5 linked regions of the Oryzias latipes genome follow. The protein of the gene in region 1 binds, or shares a complex with, the protein of each later gene. Links are inferred from orthologs where the notes say so. Each region holds a gene or a part of one and is shown in the gene's direction. Other genes may lie near its edges.

Evidence for each region.
Region 2: the proteins of gdf5 (region 1) and bone morphogenetic protein receptor type-1A are in contact, whole or in part, in a crystal structure (PDB 3QB4), measured with the Homo sapiens proteins. The link is inferred for Oryzias latipes from reciprocal best matches to the Homo sapiens genes GDF5 and BMPR1A. Residues at the interface, in NP_000548.2 of Homo sapiens: Arg399, Phe435, Pro436, Leu437, Ser439, His440, Glu442, Pro443, Asn445, Val448, Ile449, Leu452, Ser455, Met456, Pro458; in NP_001393490.1 of Homo sapiens: Gly65, His66, Cys67, Pro68, Ile77, Thr78, Phe83, Ile85, Glu87, Cys100, Met101, Lys102, Glu104, Gly105, Phe108, Gln109, Asp112, Ser113, Lys115, Ala116, Gln117, Arg120, Ile122.
Region 3: the proteins of gdf5 (region 1) and rgmb are in contact, whole or in part, in a crystal structure (PDB 6Z3J), measured with the Homo sapiens proteins. The link is inferred for Oryzias latipes from reciprocal best matches to the Homo sapiens genes GDF5 and RGMB. Residues at the interface, in NP_000548.2 of Homo sapiens: Leu396, Arg399, Phe435, Pro436, Leu437, Arg438, Ser439, Asn445, Val448, Ile449, Leu452, Ser455, Met456; in NP_001353437.1 of Homo sapiens: Gln57, Thr60, Phe63, Val64, Thr67, Ser68, Leu70, Asn71, Tyr88, Leu103, Val104, Ser107, Ala108, Leu110, Gly111, Ile112, Asp114, Leu115, Gln118.
Region 4: the proteins of gdf5 (region 1) and twsg1 are in contact, whole or in part, in a crystal structure (PDB 8BWL), measured with the Homo sapiens proteins. The link is inferred for Oryzias latipes from reciprocal best matches to the Homo sapiens genes GDF5 and TWSG1. Residues at the interface, in NP_000548.2 of Homo sapiens: Glu434, Phe435, Pro436, Ser439, His440, Glu442, Asn445, Val448, Ile449, Leu452, Ser455; in NP_065699.1 of Homo sapiens: Cys26, Lys28, Cys31, Ala32, Ser33, Val35, Ser36, Leu39, Ile40, Cys44, Gln45, Cys46, Arg47, Cys73, Val74.
Region 5: the proteins of gdf5 (region 1) and hemojuvelin are in contact, whole or in part, in a crystal structure (PDB 6Z3L), measured with the Homo sapiens proteins. The link is inferred for Oryzias latipes from reciprocal best matches to the Homo sapiens genes GDF5 and HJV. Residues at the interface, in NP_000548.2 of Homo sapiens: Met412, Trp414, Trp417, Phe478, Asp480, Ser481, Lys488, Tyr490, Met493; in NP_001366281.1 of Homo sapiens: Arg95, Arg98, Gly99, Leu101, His104, Ser105, His108.

Annotation. Positions count from the first base shown.
Region 1 is NC_019863.2:6,129,058-6,133,407, reverse strand, and holds the start of gdf5 (growth/differentiation factor 5), read left to right. Parts: upstream 1-1,433; 5' UTR 1,434-2,241; coding exon 2,242-2,986; intron 2,987-4,350. UniProt on the Homo sapiens protein: Growth factor involved in bone and cartilage formation. During cartilage development regulates differentiation of chondrogenic tissue through two pathways.
Region 2 is NC_019873.2:12,328,661-12,333,000, reverse strand, and holds the start of bone morphogenetic protein receptor type-1A, read left to right. Parts: upstream 1-1,538; 5' UTR 1,539-1,749; intron 1,750-4,340. UniProt on the Homo sapiens protein: On ligand binding, forms a receptor complex consisting of two type II and two type I transmembrane serine/threonine kinases.
Region 3 is NC_019867.2:13,671,747-13,676,070, forward strand, and holds the start of rgmb (RGM domain family member B), read left to right. Parts: upstream 1-1,412; 5' UTR 1,413-1,816; coding exon 1,817-1,943; intron 1,944-4,324. UniProt on the Homo sapiens protein: Member of the repulsive guidance molecule (RGM) family that contributes to the patterning of the developing nervous system. Acts as a bone morphogenetic protein (BMP) coreceptor that potentiates BMP signaling. Promotes neuronal adhesion.
Region 4 is NC_019875.2:4,775,562-4,779,843, forward strand, and holds the start of twsg1 (twisted gastrulation protein homolog 1), read left to right. Parts: upstream 1-1,386; 5' UTR 1,387-2,344; intron 2,345-2,811; 5' UTR 2,812-2,844; coding exon 2,845-2,970; intron 2,971-4,282. UniProt on the Homo sapiens protein: May be involved in dorsoventral axis formation. Seems to antagonize BMP signaling by forming ternary complexes with CHRD and BMPs, thereby preventing BMPs from binding to their receptors.
Region 5 is NC_019874.2:31,654,390-31,658,817, reverse strand, and holds the start of hemojuvelin, read left to right. Parts: upstream 1-1,581; 5' UTR 1,582-1,836; intron 1,837-4,428. UniProt on the Homo sapiens protein: Acts as a bone morphogenetic protein (BMP) coreceptor. Through enhancement of BMP signaling regulates hepcidin (HAMP) expression and regulates iron homeostasis.

The DNA of each region.
Region 1 (4,350 bases):
TTCATTCTGTCCTGCGGCGCCATTTAAATGATGGGCGCAGTGCAGGTAGCAGCTCGATTTGAGCGACCCAGTGCGGCCACAGTTATTTGAACTTTGCCACGGTCGCTGCGTCGGGCTGTTCATATTTGGGACATGGGTGACTAGTTATTCAGAAACTCGTCCACATGGAGGAGATAAAAAAAAAAAAAAATGAGACAATAATCTTTTTTTTCTATCAATGACATCCCACTGGGTAAGTTAGCTGTCTAAATTGTCTTCATGATCCTTCTAAGCTCAGTAAACTACTCACTTTTTGGAGTTTTTGATCATTTTAGTCTACTGGGTTTGATAAAGAAGTAGTGTTTTTCCCCAAGTTTTATTATAATTGAGTTTTGAGGATAACAAAAATCTTTGAACATTTCAAACCAATTTAGTACCTGCTGCACCATCCTGACACTTATATTGGCGTCCCAACAGATGCCAAAAGAGTGGTGGCTCTCAGACTGATACCAGCAACAACAGACAGTTTACAGGCTCAACAAAAGGCCACCTGGTTGAAGAGGCATGGTCATCCTTTATTGACCTCAAGCCTGTTAGTATACAAGCCTACAGTGTTTCTCAGGATTACAGTATACCATTATGAAGAACAGAAGTTATATTCAGGGCCTCAAGACTATATCGTGGATTAATTATTTTTCATGTATTTCTTATATTTTGCTTTCTTATATAGATGATTGGTTTCACTTTTATGCTGCCAGTTGTTTTGCTTATGATTTACTTTCATTTATCATTCTTTGTATGATTTGGCGGAGTCGAGACCCTATCGGTCCTTGGACAAACAGCGTGTTGGTCAGGCACACCCTGAAAACCTGCTTTACTCCAGAATTAACTAATTCACGTTTATGGAGATCGTCCAAACGGGCAAAGATTAATAATGTGTCAAAGAGCGCGTGTTGTTTAGTTGTTGCTGGTGTTAAAGGTTAAAACTGTATAATAAATAAAAAAGTAAATGCTGGTTATAAAACAGTTCATGTTCACGCTATGTTGACTTCGGCTAATAGTTTTTAATATTAAAACGTGTATCTGTTAAACATAAAACCCCTGCTGATACAAGAAAGCATTGGGTTAGATGTGCGCCTCTGCATTTATATAGTATCCCTGTTTGGTTTGTCTAAATGAAAAAGTGTCACAGATTTCTTTATTTTGGTTAAACACATGTTGAGTGGTGAGGTGAGATTTAATTAGAGATTAAATATTTGCATTGGAAGATATTAGAAGGTTTTCTTTTATTAAAAGGAAAAATGGGAGAAAAAACAGACATTTATGAATTTAACCCAAGATTATTAGGTTGTGTTAATTTGACCTTTTAACTTGGTTAATCTAACAATTTAATACTTGGGTTGATTAGAGTAACCCAAAATTGTGGGTTAAAAATAACCCATCAAATAGTGCTTTTTAACCCTGAAGTTAGGTTAAAATAACCCAAGTTTGGTTATTTTAATCCAACCACTGAGTTTTTAGTGTGCTGCAGCATCACTGTTTCCGAAAACCCTGAAAACAATGTGGACCAAAGCAGTTTCCTCCGTGTGTTCATAGTGAGAGGACAGATTCTGCACCAGTTCAGTGAGTCACAGGTGGAAAAAAGAAGTAGGAAGATGTGTGGAGAAACACTGCTGTTTAATGGGTTTAGACGTCATGACGTCATGCAGTAATTAAAACTGTTTTCTGGAATTCCTGCGCCGCTCAGGTTCGCTGGAGGATTTGCAGCACCTGCACCTTAGTGTGGGAGTGCAGTGTTTTCACTGGACGGAGTTCAGACTCCGGAGAGAGAGGGGAAGGGGCGCGCGAGCTTTCTCTGGGAAACCGCGGGTTTATTAGAGCTTTCTTACGAGCTCTCCAGCAGAACAGCTCCGCGCGCTCGCAGCATCTCCTCTGTCACGGCCAGGACCCCGCCAGCATTATGGTTGCTCCACATGACAGATGGCACTTTGCAGATCTTCAGGAATCCTCCCAACGCGCGCTTAAAGCTCCCCCGTCTCATGTTTAAGCTTTGGCTGCCTCGCTCTGTTTTTTTTATTCTGATTTACAAAGAAAAAAAGCTTTTGGTTGATTTCTCTCCTGACAGCTCAGACTCAGAGCAGAGGACCACCGGGAGGAGATAGACTGCGCGCAGTTCTGTCTGAAGTACAAACGTCAGCGCACTGCAGAGTGACACAGCTTTACTTACGATGACGGTTTGCCTCGAGGCACAAAGGATTTAGGATGAAAGTTGTGAGGCATCTTTCTTTTCTGTTCAGCTGCTGGACTCTCCTTTACCCGCATCCCGTCCTTGCTTCACGCAGCTGGACCACGCAAAAGGAGCGCGAGCATCGCCAGCTTGGAGAGGCAAGACGGCAGACAGAAGCACGCGAAGTTGGTCAGTTACTAAAAAAAGTTCCCGGTGCGTGGAATCCCTCCGCGCGCATCCCCGCTGGTCCGCCGCCGCTCAAAGGCGAGACTTCTGTTGATAGAAACAAACCGTCCTCCTCGCGGTCATCCGTGTACTCATCCGCCAAACATCTGCCGAAGCTGCAGGATAAGGTGGACAACTCAGCGCGCAAAGGGGTTTCGCGCTCCTGGGTGTCCCCAACGGACGCGCACGTCAAGGTCCATGCTCCCGCAACTGTTAACGCTTACGCAGCAGTGAAAGAAACCCCAACTGTTGGGGGTAAAGCCTCAGCTGGCAAGAAAATGGAGAGAGTTGCTTCAAAGGCAAGCGCGGCTGCTGCTGCTGCACGCGCGGCTTCCCCTCACCAAACCGGCGGCGCGCAGAGGAGGCTGCCTCCGGCGGCGCAGCGCAGCAGCAGCAGCCAGAATCCGAGGCTTCAGCACAGACAACCGCTGGTGACCCCTCACGACTACATGCTGTCGCTGTACTGGTCTCTATCCAGCGGGGGACTGAACAGCAGCGCGCTGCACGAGGCGGCTCTGGCCAACACCATCACCAGTGTCGTGGACAGAGGTCAAGGTAAACACCACCCTGCAGTTTACTTTTGAATACAAGTGCATTAATGACACCCAACCCTCCACTAATGCACGTTCTTGTCACTCATTTAACTAGATAAAAAAAATTATGTGTTTTTTTTTATACCAAGAATATTATTCCGATGCGTGAACTGAGTCCAGAAGCACATCCTCGGCATTTTCCAATACATTCTGCCTGCTTTTGTGATCTGGAACGGCTGAACCGGTGGTGCTGACTGATCAGTGAGAGGATGTAGGGAGCTCTGAAGAGCAGGGAGCAGAGGAAGCTGAAGGAGGAACACAAAGGGGGGCTGCTATGTGTGGAGTGAGCTGTAAGTAGGGTTCCAGCGGAGGGCTCCACTGAACATTAATTTCGTTAATCGTTATAATAATCGTTATACGTTAAACGTTAACCCCAAATTGTTCATAATAAAAAACAAAAACAATAAAGCGTGTGCAATCACACAATCAACCAATACATCTCTCATAAATATATAAAAAATCATGAAATTGTAAAAAACCTGCACACAGATTTTAAACTAGCCATTATATTATTATATATATCATTTTACTTTAAAAACCTGTTCATTATTTTAAAAACTGTTTTAAAATATTCATTTTCAATCATGTTTAATATTATTATAATTCCATGACTTGTGACTAACTCGGATTTCAATATCAATATTTTCCAAAGTAGCTTTGTTTTTATTTCGCATTGCTGTTTTTCAGAATGACTTATTTCTTTCTATATGAGCTTTTTCAGCAGAATGAGTCTGTCTGCCAATCAAACCAAACAAGGCGGAGACACTTTTGTGATTGGCTATTTCTTTACTCAGACATAAGCAGCAGCACCTTAACTACATCGATTGAAGTTGCTTCAGCGAACGTGACGGTGCAATGCCCACCCCTCAACACTAGGTGGGAGTATGCAACTCTACACATCATTTACAGTAGCCGCGGTTACATGGGCAAAATATCTTTATCGGATCAATGGTCGGATTACAATTCAACCGTGCACATGGGCACAGAAAACCTTTTTCCGATTAGAACAAACGTGTACATGGGTCACACTTTCGGTCAGAATAAATCATTTGGGCATGCGCAGTAGTGTTGAAAATACAGTAAGCGGAAATGAGTCCCGTTGTAAACAAACTGCTGCCACATACATTTTATGCAGATGCTCGGTAATATACTAGACGATCTTCCAAACGTGCTTTTATTAATATAATGAATATTATGAAGCGCCTCTTCGCTCATCATTTTATTTTTAATCCGTCTGTTCGTTGCTTTTTCTGTGGAAGAACGGAGCTGGAAGAAGGGTTAGGAGAGACTAACACGCGCTAACAACATTAGCCTTTTGATGGACAC
Region 2 (4,340 bases), on another chromosome or scaffold:
TAAAAGGGAAATTCTTTACAGTCTGGAAAGACAGACAAACTGACAAATCGTCAAAGCCCAGGAAATGTTGACATTTTCAATTCAGTCTCCAAGCTGCTGGTTTCAAGAACTGTGGTCAAATAAGAGATTTAGCAGCATCTAGTGACTATAAGGGGAATTGCAACAAAATGCTGTTTAGAGCATCGCCTTTGGAGCATCCTGAGCTTTAGTGTGACCTACCTTCAGATCAACTGAAAGGGTTTCATCTGTGGGAGTTTTTATAATGCCGGATGTCAGTCTAAACTCTGCGTGTCACGATTTCTGCTCTGTTCAGACCAGTTTTTACCCTGTCTCCTTTTATACAGTTTATGTCAGACAGTGTGAATGTGCATGCAGAGCAGTTTGTTGCAGCATGTTGGGATGTAAAAAAAAAAAGCTCTGACCCCGCCCTCCAGACACATACGCAGAATATTACTGTAAAGAATGGTTAGAAACTGTGATGAGCAGCAGGAAGGCTGGGATGAACCTGCTATCACTCTGAAATGCTGCTTTACTGTTTGACAGGTTTACAAGGAGAATTACAGCATTGCAGTCTGAATAAAGCGAGCACTTACATCATAAAAAACATCTGCATTTGTCCTGTTCTTCATTATTTCACAGCTTGAAATCAAGAAAAACACTTGGGTTTTTAGCAGCTTTATAAACTAATTCACTTCAAATTTTACATTTACTAAATTCCATAAAATAATGTTGCTTTTTCGAGCATCAATATTTTGAACATTTAAAATGTTTAAAAAAAAATATATATATATATATATATATATATATATATATATATATATATATATATATATATATATATATATATATATATATATATATATATATATATATATAATACCAATCCAGCGTCTATGTTCTTATCTGTGACCAAACTCTTTTCAAAAAGTATTTACTCTTCCCTTTAATTTTTTTCTTTTTTTTGCAGACCTGTTGTTTCGCTACTAGCCACTAGATGGAGGCAGACTAAGCTTAAGTCAGAATTTCAAAGTAAAAGCCAGGACAGAGTAGTGATTGCAAAAACAGATGAAAGAAATTAGGCAAGAGTTCTCACTCTGACAGTAATATCAACTCAACCGGGAGGTTAGACGGAGACTTTATTACCTTTTTCAGTTTTTAAAAGAAGAAGGCACAAAGAATAGATACATTCAAACATGATTTTAGCGTGTGGTAATTTAAATACAGGATGTTATAAATAGTTATTATCCTCAAATTTCTAATAGACAAAAAAGTCACATGAACTGCATCCATGGGAAACGCAATGAAACAACGTAAACTATAGAATTGAATATAAATGTGGCGCACAAAAAGAAACGCTTACTGTATGTTGGCAGTATAGATTTATGATAAAAAACATCAATAATAGAGATTTATTCAGATGTAAATCTGTATTAAATTATTTACTAATTAAAAAGTCAGGTAACTGGAAAGGCTCATCCGGAAGTTTGACTGTCTCATTTGACGTTAGAGTGAGTAGTCTCGTTGCTCACAGACGATCTTCGAACAGGTTTGGGATTCACTGTCCTCGCCGTCAAACAGAGAAAACCGCAGAAGGAGCGAGTACTGAGGCGCATGGAGAGAACGGCAAAACCGCTGGAAAATACGTATCTGTATCCCGGAATACTATTCAGAGTTAGGATTTAAACAACAGATTTGTGCTGGAAAACGAGATGCGTCCCAAGGAGTAAATAAGGCACCCAGGAGGATAAGGTAAGGCGGATAAGATCCAACAAAACCCCGAACTTCACTCCCTGTAGTTGGACTTTTCAGCTCCGTCTATGTGCTGAATCACATAGCGAATAGAGCCTGGAAGAAAATAAATGTAAACTTGGTATTTATACATTATTTTATGAAGTAGTTATTAGATTATAAGTTCGGCATTGGGATATATTGTCAGTTGTTTGTGATACTGAAAAAAAAAATTCAAATAAAATGAACAGATTTCGTGAGTGGTTTGGCGCCAGGAAATAGTCGTATCCTGTTGGCAACGCTGTCGAAAAAGTTCCCAGTTGTTGAGCTTCGGCGAGATTATTAAATGTTTTGCAGAAAAGAGGCTATGATGAAGCCCATCAGTATGTAAGCAGGCATTGTTGATCCCAGATAAGTGAATAAAATCTGCGGGAGAGTTTATCTGGATCATCTTTGCCGCAGTTTGTTCACCGAGATGTCGCTTGTTAGCCGCATTCCTCGGTTAGCTAACTCCGCAAATATCACTTATTTGTAATAAAACAGTTTTTACGGTTAGAAAAAACGTGTTACCGATAATTTTGATCAATTTTGCCCGTTTGTCCGTGAGTTCGTTTGTCTGTAGTCAACTATGTGTGAAAGTTAGAGAAAGTTGAGCTAAGTTTCTCGTTAGCATGTGGGGCTATAACACGCAGAGAGAAGGTCTAGTTTCTGCTGGTTTTCTCTGTTTACCTGAAATTATTGCTTCTCGTGCACGCGCTACCCGGAGCCACCTGTGGCGCGCTCGTTTTGTAGCTTGTTGTGTGTTTGTGTCGGAGACTGCCAAACATATTTAGCCTCCAGCATCAGCCCCGGAACACAAACTCTGATTGTTTTTTTTTTTTTTAATTATGTTTTGGTGTTAGTGCAATGTTTCTCCAAACTCCAAAACCCCACATTCAGTTTAGCGAAAATTCGCAAACTTTCCTGGTTAAGCCTTCGTTGAGTTTGTTGACATTTTTGGAAAAACCTCGAATGTATTCCACTCGGGGCTTTCTTTTTTGCCATACTTGGGACCAGTATTGTTGAAGTAAAACTTTTTTTTTTTTTCTTATTGTCAACATGTTTTGGTCGTTATGTTTGTTGCCTTCTTAATACCTGGATTGTTCAGGTTTTTTTAATCTCCAGACAAATCTGGCCTATACCTTTTAAAATTGATTTTAAGTTGATTGATTTCTGTGGTTTAGGGTTTCAGACAGAACGGCTCCCTCTTGTCCTCAGGGGCTGTTCTTGGTTCAGACCTGTTTATTTTCCATTTAAAGTCATCTTTATTTTATGTGATGGTCTTTAATATGTTTGATTATTTCATCCTATCAAACTGATTGCCTAATCAGTGAAATAATGTGCAGTTTTGAGCAATTAGTTTTGTGTTGGAGTAAAATCCTAACCCAACTGAACCACGATTAGCTTTCTTTTTTAACTGAAACTAGTTGGTTCTTAGATCAGAGCAGTTTCTGTCCTAAAAGCTTGACGTATGCTCCTTCAGTTCAGTTTTTTTTAAAAGTCCAATCATCATTGACTCTATTGTAAAAGTGTTCCTAGTGGTCTTTTAATTATAAATATGCCGTTTTAAGCCAATCAAAAAACAACCTTTGTTGTTTTTTAGGACATAGTTTCTGCTGAGCGGCAGTACTTCATCGGCTTTTGGTGCAGACTAGTAAGCTTGTCTGTGCTTCCCGTCATTCATCTGTTTACACAATCTCCCTTAAACTTGTGCAACAAAAATGAGGAGCAATATTGGAATCATCCAGATGTTCAGTTTTGAGCCACATACGAGCTCAGACCAGGGAAATTAAGTACTTGGATCTATTTATGTCCTCCGTCATGAGAAAAATGCCACAAGAACATGTTAAAAACACCAAAAACATTATTTTTATCAGAGTGGGTCTTCAGAACATTCTATGATTATAATCTATAAAGTGATAATACAAATAAATAACAATTCTTACTTGACTAATTATTACTTGAAGAAGACACTTTAATATGGTTGTGTAAAACAAATTGAAAATGGCTGTTTTAATCACATTTTAAAGCTTTTAAGAGACAGAATCCTTTAAATGTGATTGTAAAAGATAGATTAGTGACATCATGACAGAGACACACTACTTCCCAAAAGAGCAGTGGGTGTTTTATAAATCTGGCAGGTTTTTTTTGTTTTGTTTTTACTCTCTATTGTCGTTGGCCACTTTTTCCGTAGTCAGATAGAATATGATTATTTTGTTGTGGTGTCTTACAGGGGGTTGAGCTTGGTCCAGCTTTTTTGTAGTTTTTGGGTCTACGTTTGTTCAGCATCATAGGCAGATGTCATGCCTGTATCTATGTTTTTTGCTAAGATTAGTGTGTTTCTGTCAGAATCTTGGAATTGTTGTTAAGTACAAGTCTTTTTTTATTTTTGCCATTGAGTCCTTCATGTGTGATGTTGGATTATAGCCGTTTCACTGAAACTGCAGGTCTTAACTGTTTGTTGAATGAATGGTGCTGATTCAAACATTTTTGTTTTTTTAAAACAAGAGCCAACTTTTTTTTTGCAGATAAATCGCTGAGTGTATGTGTTGACATACCCTAGTTACGTTAAC
Region 3 (4,324 bases), on another chromosome or scaffold:
ATTTTGGAGCCGAAGTATTTTTATGGATACTTTATTTGGCGTCAGTTGGTTAAGCAAACTTGAGTATAAGTATAGAAAGTATAACAGCTTTTTATCATAGTGTAGGAGTATACTAACTGAGAATTTCCTCAGACTAAATTGGAACATTGTAAGTTTATAGATAGTATATAAAAAACTAAACTGCCTCACTTTTTGGATTGACTAAGTGCAATAAACTTAATTAGACTTCTTTTTGCCAAGGGATGGTCCATGATTGGAATTGGAATTGGTTTATTTCAAGCAATCAAAGCAAACAATGCTGAAGAAGACAAACATAACAAATATCTTTATATAGATGTATCAAAATTTGGATGATTAATTGCAACCACCTTCAGATAGATTTACCTACCCTCTGAAACCACATTTATAAGAAATGATCCATTTCCTCTAGGAATTGGGAATTTTTAATGGTGTACCTCAATTTCTTTACATGCATCGATCAAACCGTTACCCTAAGCAAAAAGTACCGCAGTTAAAGTATTTTTGTTAAATATACTTGAGTATAAGTATAGCAAGTATGATAGTCACGAGAGTTTGGAGTGTCATATTCCTCCAAGGCCCTAATATGCTATCATAGCATCAGTTCCGAATATCTATCTTGTCCTTTGATCTTATACATTATATGTTGAAGGCTTTTCCTGACACCTCTGCATTTGGAGGGCTTGGGACACGCCCTTTTAAAAAAATCAGTAATTAATTGTGGATTTTTTTTAATCGTGGTTGGGGGGGGGGGGGGGGGGGGGGGTTATTACAGCATTCTGTTGGACAGAGTCCCTGCCTGCCCCTACATGTACTTAAATACTTCTGAATACTAATAAATCTGAATATTTCTTCAGACTAGATTGGAACATTGTGTGTTTACAAAATATAGATCGTACATAAAAAGTAAATCGCTATTACATAAGAAATAAACTTTAAGTATACTGCCTCACTTTTACTTGTAGTACACTTAAATAGACTTCTTTTGGGTGTTGTGTAGCAGTAGCAGTATCTGAAAAAGCTGAAAACTTTGTTCTTGAGGAATCCGTGGGATTTTGGTGACACATTAACCTAACTTTTCCTTTCATCCACTGTCCGTTATTCTTAACTCGATTTAATCATCTAAAGATAAACCCTATCAGATCAGGCAAATAATATCTGGAAAAATAAACCGGAATCCTTCCTGGAAAAAAAAAGGAAGAAACATATCGGAAACGCATCATGCTTTGAGGAGCTCAATAATTTTCTCATCTGGTTGATCTACAACTTTTATCTCAGTGTCTCATTATTGTGGGTCACGGTGGGCGGGTTTTCCGCCTGCAGGGTTTGGTTGATTCTGTGAGCTATTGATTTGTTGCAGAGGAGGAGGAGGAGGAAGAGGAGGAGGCGGAGGAGAAAGCGAAAGGGGAGGAGTGGAGGAGAAATTGTGCTGAGGGAGGGATGCGGCCGTGCGTGCGGGACGGGAGAGGAGCGTGATTGCAATCACAGCAAAAAGAAGAAGAAAAAAAGTCCGACTGCCGAAGCTGGGGAGAGAGCGCACCGAGAAAGTCACGTGGGGAGCGGATCCTTTCGCGAAGAAAAGCTGGAAAAGTGGGACTTCTTCTGCCGGGACTTTTAGCTGCTCTCCGCCCCGCATTCCGCGGTGTTTTCATGCGCACCCGTGGAGGGGAGGACGGAGAGACAAGTGAGGGTGAAGAGACAGAAGAAGAAGAAGAAGAGGTGATCGGGCTTGAACGCCTCCCCTCTGCGCTCCGTGGAGGTCGGTCCACTCTCCCCTCCTGGCCCTGCATGGACGGGGATGGGGAGAGCCGGATGCCGTTGCCGCGGGGCTGAGCGCCTGGCTTCCCCGTCTATGGTGCGCCGTTTCCGGCCATCGCTGCTGCTGCTGCTGCTGCTGCTGGTTCTGTCCTACGGAACTTACATGGGTGAGGAACGTTTTCATTACTCCTCCAGATCATGTGTCACTAAAACCTCCACTTTCCCTGAGTTTTTGTCAATTCTTGAAGCGTTGGTTCCTGGCCTCACAAAGCCTCCCTCCAGAGCGGCAGTGCAGCATTCTCAGCCCGGATCGAGTTTCTCCTCCTCTCTCCTGGGCCGTCATTCTCCTGTCTGCCCCCTTAATGGCTCGTGGAGGAGGGGAAGAGGGCGACTGCCTCTCCTCTTGTCATAACAGATCTGTTCCATGCAAGCAAAAGTTGCCTGTTATTTAAACCAAAGTGAACTGAACTGAAATAATAGGCTAAAATGCACACAGGAAAGTATTAATATAGTTTAATATAAAAGGAGTTGTAAAGTCTCTTTGTCCTTTGGTGATGCTCATCATTTAAGAATTGATGACTGTAGAATAAAAAGTGACCTCTCCCTGCACATGCAGAGGTGTTGTGTGTTGTTCTGGCTGGTCGTTTTGTGTTGTGTAATCCAGAAGAGATCAGTTTTTGGGCTGTTTGTGAGCATTTAGGGGGTCAGCTGTCTTGTGGGCATTCACACCTCCTGTAATTAGTTTAACACAACCCTGAGCTCTAGGATAAATACACCCACCTCTGCACCACAGCCTGGCTTTAGGCTTTACAAATGCACCCAGGTCACAATTGGAGCCCACATGTGGAAAGAATGTGTTTATTTTGCTTGCATAAACACAAAATATTGTTGCTGTTTTTTTTGCAAGAAGTTTTAACAAATGCTATCATCTGTCAGCTCCATGCTGGTTTGGAGGGAAGGCAGGAGTGTCTGATTTACAGGCTATTGTTCGAAGGGGAGCTCCTGTCTCTAAGCTTAGATGGCTGTTTGTGTGATTTGAGCTCAAAATGTGAGAGCGCATACAGCAAGGTGATCAATAAGCACTTCACAAACCATTCCCCTGGCTGAGAGATGATCCCAGTAGATCTTTTTCTGATCTGAGGAGATCAGAGAACTTGGAGGCAGCCAGATTGGGAGACAAAGAAGCCCTAACAACCAAGCCGAGGAGATTGGGCTCGTGGATGTTTTGACCTCTGTCTGATGTTGGAGAAGGTTGCCTCGGGATGCAGGTGGGGGCGAGAAGGCTCAAAGGCAGACGGAGAGGCCTGGAGGCTGACAATAGGGTTTGTGTGTGTGGTGAGGGGAAGCTCTAAAGCAAAATCTCACAATAGAAGAGATGATCCAGATGTGAGAAGAGGGTTGAGTTTGAAAGGAAAGTTGATGTAATACGGAGCTGACTCCCATCCTGCCTTCACTGGTGACTTACTGTAGGACGATCTATTGCAGCTCCGGACACGAGTCACCACAAAAATGTTTTTTCTTAACTGATTTGCTCAGAAACAACAATTTATTCATTAAAAAATGCACAAATTATTTTTCTTTTCTTGAATGCGCCTCCAAAAAACCCTAAAGTTGCAGCCCAACTAAACTCAGACAGTTGTGGTTTTACTTGATACTCTCACAGGAAGGCTGGAATGCAGGGTCAGCCATGCAGCTCCACAATGGGAGCAGGTGTATACTTCAGTAGATTTGTGTTGTCAGCAGAGATCTCTCCTTCATCCAGAGGTCCTAGCCCAAGTTAAAGGATCACCTTTCTCTTGTTATATCACAGCAATATGCTAAAGTGTAGAAGTGTGTGTGTGTGTGTGCGTGTGTGTCTATGGCAGTTTCAAGATAGAGACATTATGGGTTTTCTGTGAGAAGTATTCAGAGACTGCAGGACGGATGGAGAAACGAGAGAAATCGCTGGTATTCCAGTCCGAAGACAAAATGTGTCCTCAGTGCTCAGGCAATGGTTGGTTGTCTATCTGTTGGTTGGTGTCAGTATTTAACAGTCAGGATAGAGATTCTAAGCCCTGGTGTGAGTGAGGGGGTCTCTACCTGCACCCGGATTTTTAAACTCAGAGCAGCACTGCCCCCAAATGGTGGCGCTCCCACTAGCCAAGAAGTCAAACACTTCTGTGCAACTTCATGGTTGGTGTGATACAGAGAGATTTTGTTGATTTTGCCTGTGCTTATGCTCCAATTAGGAAGTCGTACCACCATCTGAAGATGATGCGTTTAATGGAAGTGCATCCGTGGCGCATGTTTGTCATTGTGTGTGTGTGTGTGTGCGTGGAGCTTCTTGCGCACTGCAGAGCTTCCCTCTGTCTGGCTTAATCTAATAGGGGCATGCTGTGACTGATGCATTAGGTCTGGTCTCTAATCTTTCTACGGCTCTGACTCCCTCTTTCCCCCTGATGATACAAAAGGCTCATTTGACCCTCGTACTGTTCAGAAATGTGGAAACAGACACAAGATCACATACAATCATAGAGCAAGAAATTCCATTTGAATGGGCTACAGGAAA
Region 4 (4,282 bases), on another chromosome or scaffold:
GCAATGTCTGTACTTTTTCCCTAAACAAGCTGTACTGTGGTTACTTATTTGTGAAGTTTACTAAAGTGTTCCAGCTTTTCTCTTTGAGTTCCTCCTTTTGTTTTCCTTTCAGACATGGTGTTCTGTCTCTTCTGCGGCCTCCTGTGTTGTCCATCGTGTCTTGCACACATTCAAGTCTGTTGTGGCTTCTGAGGAAAAAAAAGACAAATACTTTTACAGTTTAAATGTGAAATCACAACAAATCCTATTTTTTCAACATAATGCCTTTTGAACGATAGTTCTAAAAAATGTCTATTTTAATATTTACTTGTTACATTACTTGTATATATTTGTAATATATAATTGAATAAATTTTATTTGTTGTGAAATTCATGTCTGTGTTGCCTTCTGGTCCTTTTGCGCGGTGCAGAATTGTAATCGGCCACCAGAGGGCGCTGCAGGAAGTTAGAAATGGACTGCAGGAGTTTGTTTAGGAGAAACTTTGAAGGTGAAACTTGAAGAGGAAAAGCTCCTAACGTTCTGGCAGCCAACGGGGAACATTTGGGAGGGTGTAATTACCATGGTGAGGGTTGGTGTGCAGTGAGATGGAATCCCCAGTGCATTGTGGGAAATCTTTTTTTTTTTTTTTCAGTCATTCAAGAATAAACAAACTCAGTTCATGTTAAAGGAAATGGAGATCACGATTATTTTGGAATGGAACAGAATAAAATATCTGCAAAGAGCAGAAAGGAAATCCTGTGGTCCCCACACCAGACCCCCTCCGGCCCCTGGCTGCGCCTAGAAATTCTGTCCACAAAAACTGAACAGAACCGGTGATGAAGGGCAGCCCAGCCGGAGTCCAACGTGCACTGGGAACAAGTCTGACTTGCTGCCATGTGAGCCTATGTGAACCAAACTCTTGCTCCGGTCATACAGAGACTGGACAGCCCTCAGTGAGGCTCCCTGGACCCCATACTCCCAGAGCACCCCCCACAGGATACCACGGGGGTCGAACGCATGAGCCAACTCCCTCCAGCACCCTAAAGAGGGTGTAGAGCTGGTCCACTGTTCCACGACCAGGACGGAAACCCCACCCTTGTTCCTTAAACTGAGGTTCGACTATCGGAATAGAATAACAGAATAAAAAGATGATAATAAAACACCAAATGGCTTTAATTTAAATAAAACACCATAAACAACAAAAGGCTTAATAGTCATTTAGTTTAATCTTGTTTTGACTTTGTGAAGTACTTTGTCAGTTTCTCTCTGTGGAAATTTACTTAATTACAAATTGCAGAAACTTCTGCTATAGTTCCGTTAAAGATTCCACAAACTTTGACTTACTTTTCTGATTTAATACAAATCATTCATCAAAACTTAACATCAAAGAATGAATGAACGAATGAAAAAGATTCCGACTTGTTTAACATTAAATCCACTCAAATTGAACATATTTCATTGTCTCTTGTTTCAGGTTTAGTCTAAATTCAATCATAATCTGGGAAACACACCATTCTTACTGATTTTTGTTTTTTACAGTCCGTTTGAGAGTTTTTTTTATTTGGTCAGAAAATGAGGATCCGAGACTTTATAAAGGGATGAACCACGTGACTCCACTGTCACGCGCTCCACGTGCGCCTCTCAGGTCATCAGTTCAGCTTTCTGTTTCTGTTGAAGCAGAAAAGGCGTAAAAACGGAAGAAACTCGGTCAGAACGCGTCGCGCGCTGACCTTTGGCTCGTGTTGTCCCCTTAGAGCAGCAGGAAAAGATTATTTTTTAAAAATCTGACCTACTCCGGTGTCTCTTGCCCCTCTGGAGGCTGTGCACCCGCAGATGTCAGCCCTTGTGGGGCTCCAGCTCGGGGCCCCAGAGGCCCTCATGGAGTCGCGCCTCCGGGGGGAGCCGGACACTTCTCACCTGAAGAGCGCTCCCTCAAAGCCCGCTGATTGGAGGGGAGACAAAGGGCTCTCTAATGAGGCGGGGGTGGACGGAGAAGGCTCGCGCAGAGCAGCAGAGCCCGTCTGACCTGGGAAAAGTTTGGGGGTTTGCGCACTTTTACGCACACTTTCTGAATCCTTTGAGGCGGCCTGGCGGGCCCCTCCTCTCGGTCTCCCCCGGTACCTTCAGCTGGTGTCGGTGTGGCCTCAGGCCCGGCTTTTGCCTCCGCAGACATTCTCCAGAAAATGGAGTCTGCGCCTTTAAGGCGCCCGACTGCCTGTCGCTTTGTGCTGCGCGCAGACTGACGCCCTCTGGACACAGTGGACACTGCGCGGCGGCACCAAACCATCCTGGAGAAGTTCAAAGAGCAAACAGACGCGGTCCTTCTCCCAGAAGAGAAGCACACGACTTCCTACAGCGCCGTGAGGTGAGTCGAAGTAAAAACGTTCCTAACTCCTCGCTCCTCCGCGCGCGCTCCTGTCGCAGTTGCGTGCGTTTCAGAGAAAGTTTGGAGTGAAGCGAAGGGGGGAGAGAAAAGAGGTAAAGAAAGGCGCTCGGGAATGAGGGAGCTCATGTTCCTCACGCTTTTTTCCTTCTTTCGTGAGAAGAGAAACAGAATGTTGGGTGTAATAGCGGAGCCGCTAGGGCGCACAGCGCGTTCAGGCGCCGCACGTGCGCTAAGAAACGGGCCAACTGAGCTGATGTTGCCAGATGTGAGTGTGGCACTGATGGCTCTGAGTGACTTCTGTCTCCTTCAGGACAATACATTTACATCTTTTGAAGAGCTCCTATAGAAAGTCCACCTCATGGATGCCAGAACCGCCTTTCCGAGTTTAAAGTTCCTGAAGTGAAGCAGAAGCTCAGACTTTTTGTGTCCTCTTTGTGTTGCTGTAGGTGTTTCCAGATCCGTGCTGGTGAGCCTTCAGGATGAGGCCTGCTCAGCTGATCCTCCCCGCCACTGCTGCTCTGCTCTTCGTCCTGTCAGGACTGTCTCTGACCTCTGGCTGCAACAAAGCCCTCTGCGCCAGCGACGTCAGCAAATGTCTCATCCAGGTAAGCTCTTCCTCCTGCATGAAGCAGACTGTCGTTCATCCAGACACGAGGCTGATCAAACAGCCGTAAACACGCGAGCTTCAGCTGCCAACGTCCAGATTGAGTCTGCCTGGGCGAGATGCGGATCTGGAGCCCAGAACAAAGATGGCATCTGTTGGGGAAGAATGCAGATGCATTCTTTGGATAAGCCAGGAGTCGTCTGGAAGTTTTCCTCAGCGTAGACGTGGATTTTGTCCAGGCTGATCTGTTGTCAGACCTTCTGCTGGTTCTAGGATTTATGACAGGCTTCCTTTGGGACGCCTGCCTGCCTGGCTCTCCAGCACGGCTCCCTCCGTGTCATTCTTTCCTCCCTCATGGGAAGCTGCGGTTTGTTTGCGTTAAGGGTGCCACCCAGCTCAGGTCCCTCCAGGAAGCGCGGTGAAGGTGTTGGCCTGTCTGTGAGCCTGCATGGCCTCTTCATTACCATCTTTAAGGTCCGGTCATGGACCTGGGCGCTCGTTTCACTTTAAGGCCGTCATCTGGCTTTAACTGCGGGGATGTTTTACTGTTAAGTGCTGGAAGTTTGCTGCTTTGCATGCAAACCAGTCCTTTTGTTCCGAGATGAGAAATGCAAACGACTAAATCCGCTGAGATCGGTATCTGTATTTGGAAGTGTGAATGCATGGGATGTGCTGCTGCAGCCAGACCTCCCATGATGCTCTGAAATATCCCTGACAGGTAAAGCCTCCAAACAGGCCCCCTGCATGGTTTTATTGTTGTGCACAAACAAAATGTTCCTCGTTTCTAATTTTCAGATCTGATAAAGCCCAATGATTAGCCGTAATTGTCTGTAATTACAAAAAGAGGCTTGGGGGCTAACTTTACGACTCGCCTGTTTGTTGTGCAAATGTGCTCAAAACCCGTTTTATGGAGAGATGCGAAGGAACTGCAGCTTCCTGGTGTTATGTCAGCATCCATTAACCATCTGTGGTGCGGTGTTTGTGCAGAGCCGGTTGTGCTGTGGCTTGGGGGGGGGGGTTGTGAAACAGTCTTGTGATGTCTGGAGTGAGCAGAGCCGCTCAGAAACTGCAGCTTGAAGGGACTCGCCGTCACCTGGTGACATGCAGGACGTTGAAATCAGACAAACAAAACCAAAGCAGGAGGTCTAGGAGTTACCTTTCAGTTGTCATATTTAAATCTGTTTTTTGTTTTTTTTAGTAAGGCAGCCTCGTCATAGACGTTTTCTCGTTAAAGCCTTTTGTTTTTTATCAGTTGAAGCACATTTCTGTCTGGTGGCACCTCTGTGGTCAGCTTGTCCGCACAGCGGAGGTGG
Region 5 (4,428 bases), on another chromosome or scaffold:
AAAATAGAATTGAATTGAGGATCATTTACAGGTGGAGGTCGATGCTCATTTTCATTTTTACTTGTTCTGTGATAAACCCAGAGAAAGAAAGAAGACTCACCTCTGCAGATTCTGTTCGTTCTGCTGCATGGTCCTCCAGCACCGGGTCTGGGTCAGTACCACCCCTCCCGCCTCACTTTGCCCCCTCCCTCCCCAAACACTAACAAAGGCTCTGAGGGCTGCTCAGTGAGGCGGAGAGGGGCCCTGCTGCAGGCTGGAAGGGCAACTGCTCATCTGTACACACATGTATTTGCACCCACACACACACATTTACACACACACACATACACACACACACACACACATGCACACACACATGCACACACTCATACATGTACACACATACATACATGTACACACATACATGCACACACACATACAGTTACACACACATCCACACATACACATGTACACAAAAATGCACACACACACACACGTACACACACCCATGCACACACACACATGCACACACATATGTACACACACACACACACATACATGTACACACACACATGTACACACACACACACATGCACACATACAGTCATGTACACACACATGCACACACACATACATGTACACACACACACACACATGCAGATATAAGCTGAGGAAAGCTTCTCAAGCATCAGGCTTTCTGTTTGAAGCAGGTGATGCTAGAACAATCAGAAGTTTCTCTTCTGGAGAGTCTGAAACTAGTTGAAGAAGCCAGAAAGAGAGTTTATGGCGCCCCCTGCTGTCTGTCCCCTTAAACCACATGACTTCCAATGGTTCCTACCCCACAAGTCAGACAATTTTTCTGCATATTATCAGCGTCTGCTCTGGTCACAAAGTCCGGTTAGACTATTTAGGGACATCCCAGCAAGGTCGGGGGTGGGGGACTTGATGCTTTTTGTCATATGGCCATGGGGGTGGCATGCCCCCTGCAGCATGGTGTGGGGGGACCCCCCCAAGTAGCTCCTCTGACATAGTTGATGCTCTCCAGCAGATGTCGGTGAAATTGCCCCACAGTCTGGGCTAGTGGTTGTTGGGGGGGGGGGGGGGGGGGGGGGGGCTTGTGATCACACACACATACAAATTGAAAATGATGCTTCTGATTTTGGCGATTTTATTGATGTATATTTTGGGGAACTATGCATTTGAAACTGTTTTAAATGTTATACGAGTTATGTTAATTTTATGTCATTTTTTTAATGCAATTTAACGCTATATATGTACATTTTTACTCTGTTTTACTCATTTTATTTTAAGTCTCTAGGTGGCTGGCCATGGTCAGAATGGGACAGAGGATGGAAATTAGCCTAGGCTACAATCCTGCATATTTACAGTGTGTCTTTACCTTTAGAGTATTCTACAATGTTTGTTGTATGCATTGTCCCTTAAATAAATAAATACAAATACAAAATACAAATGATGATCATGATTTTATGAATTAAATCTATTTTGCTTTAAATTGTTTGCATCGCCTTCAGGAAAGTAATAAATCAAAGTGGAACCAAAGTTCCAGGTCATAAATAGATTTCTGCGTCTGAAATAAAAATAACCACGTGTGTACGCGTGTGTGTGTGTTGTGTGTGTAAGTGGACAGTTGTTGTGCAGCAGGTAGTTCTCTGGGATTTATTTAGAAGAGCCTGAAGCTCCCCGACAGCTGTGAACAGGAACCAGACCGGAGCCTGCAGAGTCCTGGACAGACCACAAGAAACTTCAGGCAGAAACGTGGAGTTTCCGGCAGGTTCTGGAGCCTCGGGGGGATTTTCCCAAACCACACTGATGACCTCTGATCACAAATCAGCCGAGGTAAGACTGACTTGACAGAAGAAGGCTGCAGAGTCAGACAGCAGAAAATTAAGCTTTTAATTTTCTTGTTCTTCAGCTCAAACATCTATCACATGCAGATCATGTTTGGTGACCTCTAACCTCCAGCTCAGCTTCCTGACAATAGCTGACAGGGTGATTGGAGTCTCATTATTAACTCATTAAACTTTTGGTTTCTAAACTCTTATCATCTGGGTCGGTCTTGAAGGAGGAACCTGAACAGAAGCAGCTTTTTTTTCTATGATAGAAAGTTCTTTTTCTGTCCTGAACAGATCTCTTATCAATAATCAGTTTAGGTTGACCCTTAAAATCTACTTTTTATCTTTCTCTTTTAAACCTGGACCGATTACTTAACTTATTGTTTTATTATTGATTAGTGAAAGCTTAAAGCTTCAGTCACATGGAGCCATGTGGGGTGGGGGGCTGACCCACTCTGGTTCTGTGGGTTGTGGTTGTCCGGGTCCATGGAGAGTCATAGAGAGGAGCGGCTGCATCTCAAGGAGAGCTCAGGTGTGTCTGCAGGTTCTTTAAGACTCATACAACCACCTTAAGAGACGTCAAAAAAATGGGACGTACCATTGTCGTGCGTGTGGTAAGTGTATTATGGTAAAGGACAATGGAAAGTTACTCACACTTATAATGTACGGGTGACGCTGTCATATGGCGTCCTTATGCCACGCTCTATTCCTTAGCAAGGTGTGACTATCGCCTCCTTACTGACTGCAGAGAAATGCCTCATGCACGGAGCGTGCACGGGGTACATAGGTTTTAGAGATTCCTATATATATTCTCATGTATTTATCCACATCAATAACTCAATTAAGCTTCAAGCACAAAGTCTTGTGCAACTTTATAAAAATCTAGATGCATCAACATATGCATCAGTTTTTTTTAATGCATCAACAAGAAAGTTAACAACTAACATGTAACTTTGGTTTGTTATTCATTCATCTTCTTCCGTTTTGTTCCTTTCGGGGTCAAAGGGCTGCTGGAGCCTATCCTTATGGGCGACGGCAGGGGGCACCCTGAACAGGTCGCCAGTCTGTCACAGGGTCACATATCACACATCCATTTACACTTACACTCACACTGGACAATTTAGAGTTTCCAATTGACCTATGAAGCCTGTTTTTGGACGATGGGAGGAAGCTGGAGACCCCAAAGAAAACCCACGCATGCACGTTGATTTGTTATATCTTTAAATAAAAATAAAAAAGAATACATTTAGCATTATTCCCACCTTCGCTTGCAGTTTCAATCATCGTTATGTATAGAACAAAATCCCAGACATTCTTTCAGTATATTTAGACACAAATATCCGTGAAACGATGCGTTTATTTATAGCTGTGTGTGATGAAGCTCCGAGGGCAAGTGCAGTTTAAATTTAGCCTCCACGCCCTCAACACACCCAGGTTTGTCTGCCAAACCATGTTTCACAGACCACTGACTTTATTAAAGAATACACAAATACTTAAATAAATGCCTATCTGGAGGTTGAAGCACATTTTAAAAGTGTGAACTGGTTAAAGTTCACAGGCCGCCCCACTGATATACAACGTTGCTACTAGATTAGTGAATTTATGAATCTGAAAAACCAAAACATGACAAATTGGGATCAAATTAGGTAAGACTGGAAAAGAGAGTGTCAGTCAAATAAAAGAGATATGAATCAAGATTACATAATAAGTTGTTAAACTTAAAACCATAATTATTGTAGCACTTGTTGTCAGAGTAATAATAATAATAATGGATTAGATTTATCTGCGCTTTTCCAGTCGCTCAAAGCGCTTACAATGTGTCCATTATTCATTCACTCCTCATGTATACTTGGTGATGGTAGAGGCATGGCTGCCAGTTCACGCTTATGGTCCCTCTGACCATCACCAGGACATTCATACACATTCACACACCAGTGGAGCCACACTAGAGGCAAGGAGGGTGAAGTGTCTTGCCCAAGGACACAACAACACTTGACCAGGGGGAGCGGGGATCGAACCAGCGACCCTTCGATCATTGGACGACCTGCTCAACCTCCTGAGCCACTGAGCGCAAACATTTAAGCACAAATTTATGGAAAATTATTTTTAAATCATCTGGTTTTTACTTATAACAAAAAGTAAAGATTTTTTAAGTTTGGACGTTTTACTAACTTTAGCTAACGAAAATTATATTTTCTTTTTGAACTAAACCTTTGTCCCCATTGAGATCAATGGTCCTACTACAATGGTCGGTAAAGTAATAAAGGTCCCTGCAAGGTTACAAAACGAGTAAAACTATTTCCTTTACATGTGGGTGAATTATTTGAAGTCCTATTTATTTTTAAAAAACATAATCAAAGACTTTGTTTATGTTCACCGATATTCAAAGTAACAGTATTTGTTCAAAATAAGAACACATGTAAACACACTTTCTCGCGTTTACTTACTCATGGGGTCATAATTATGAAGAGATGTTTCAGGTCTTGATCACAACCCCTGATTCCAACCCCATCCAACCATAAAAAAAGCCTTAGTGGACCTCACAATTCAACACAAACAAAGCTCCACCCACCTACCAGAGCTCAGCTGTGCTCTG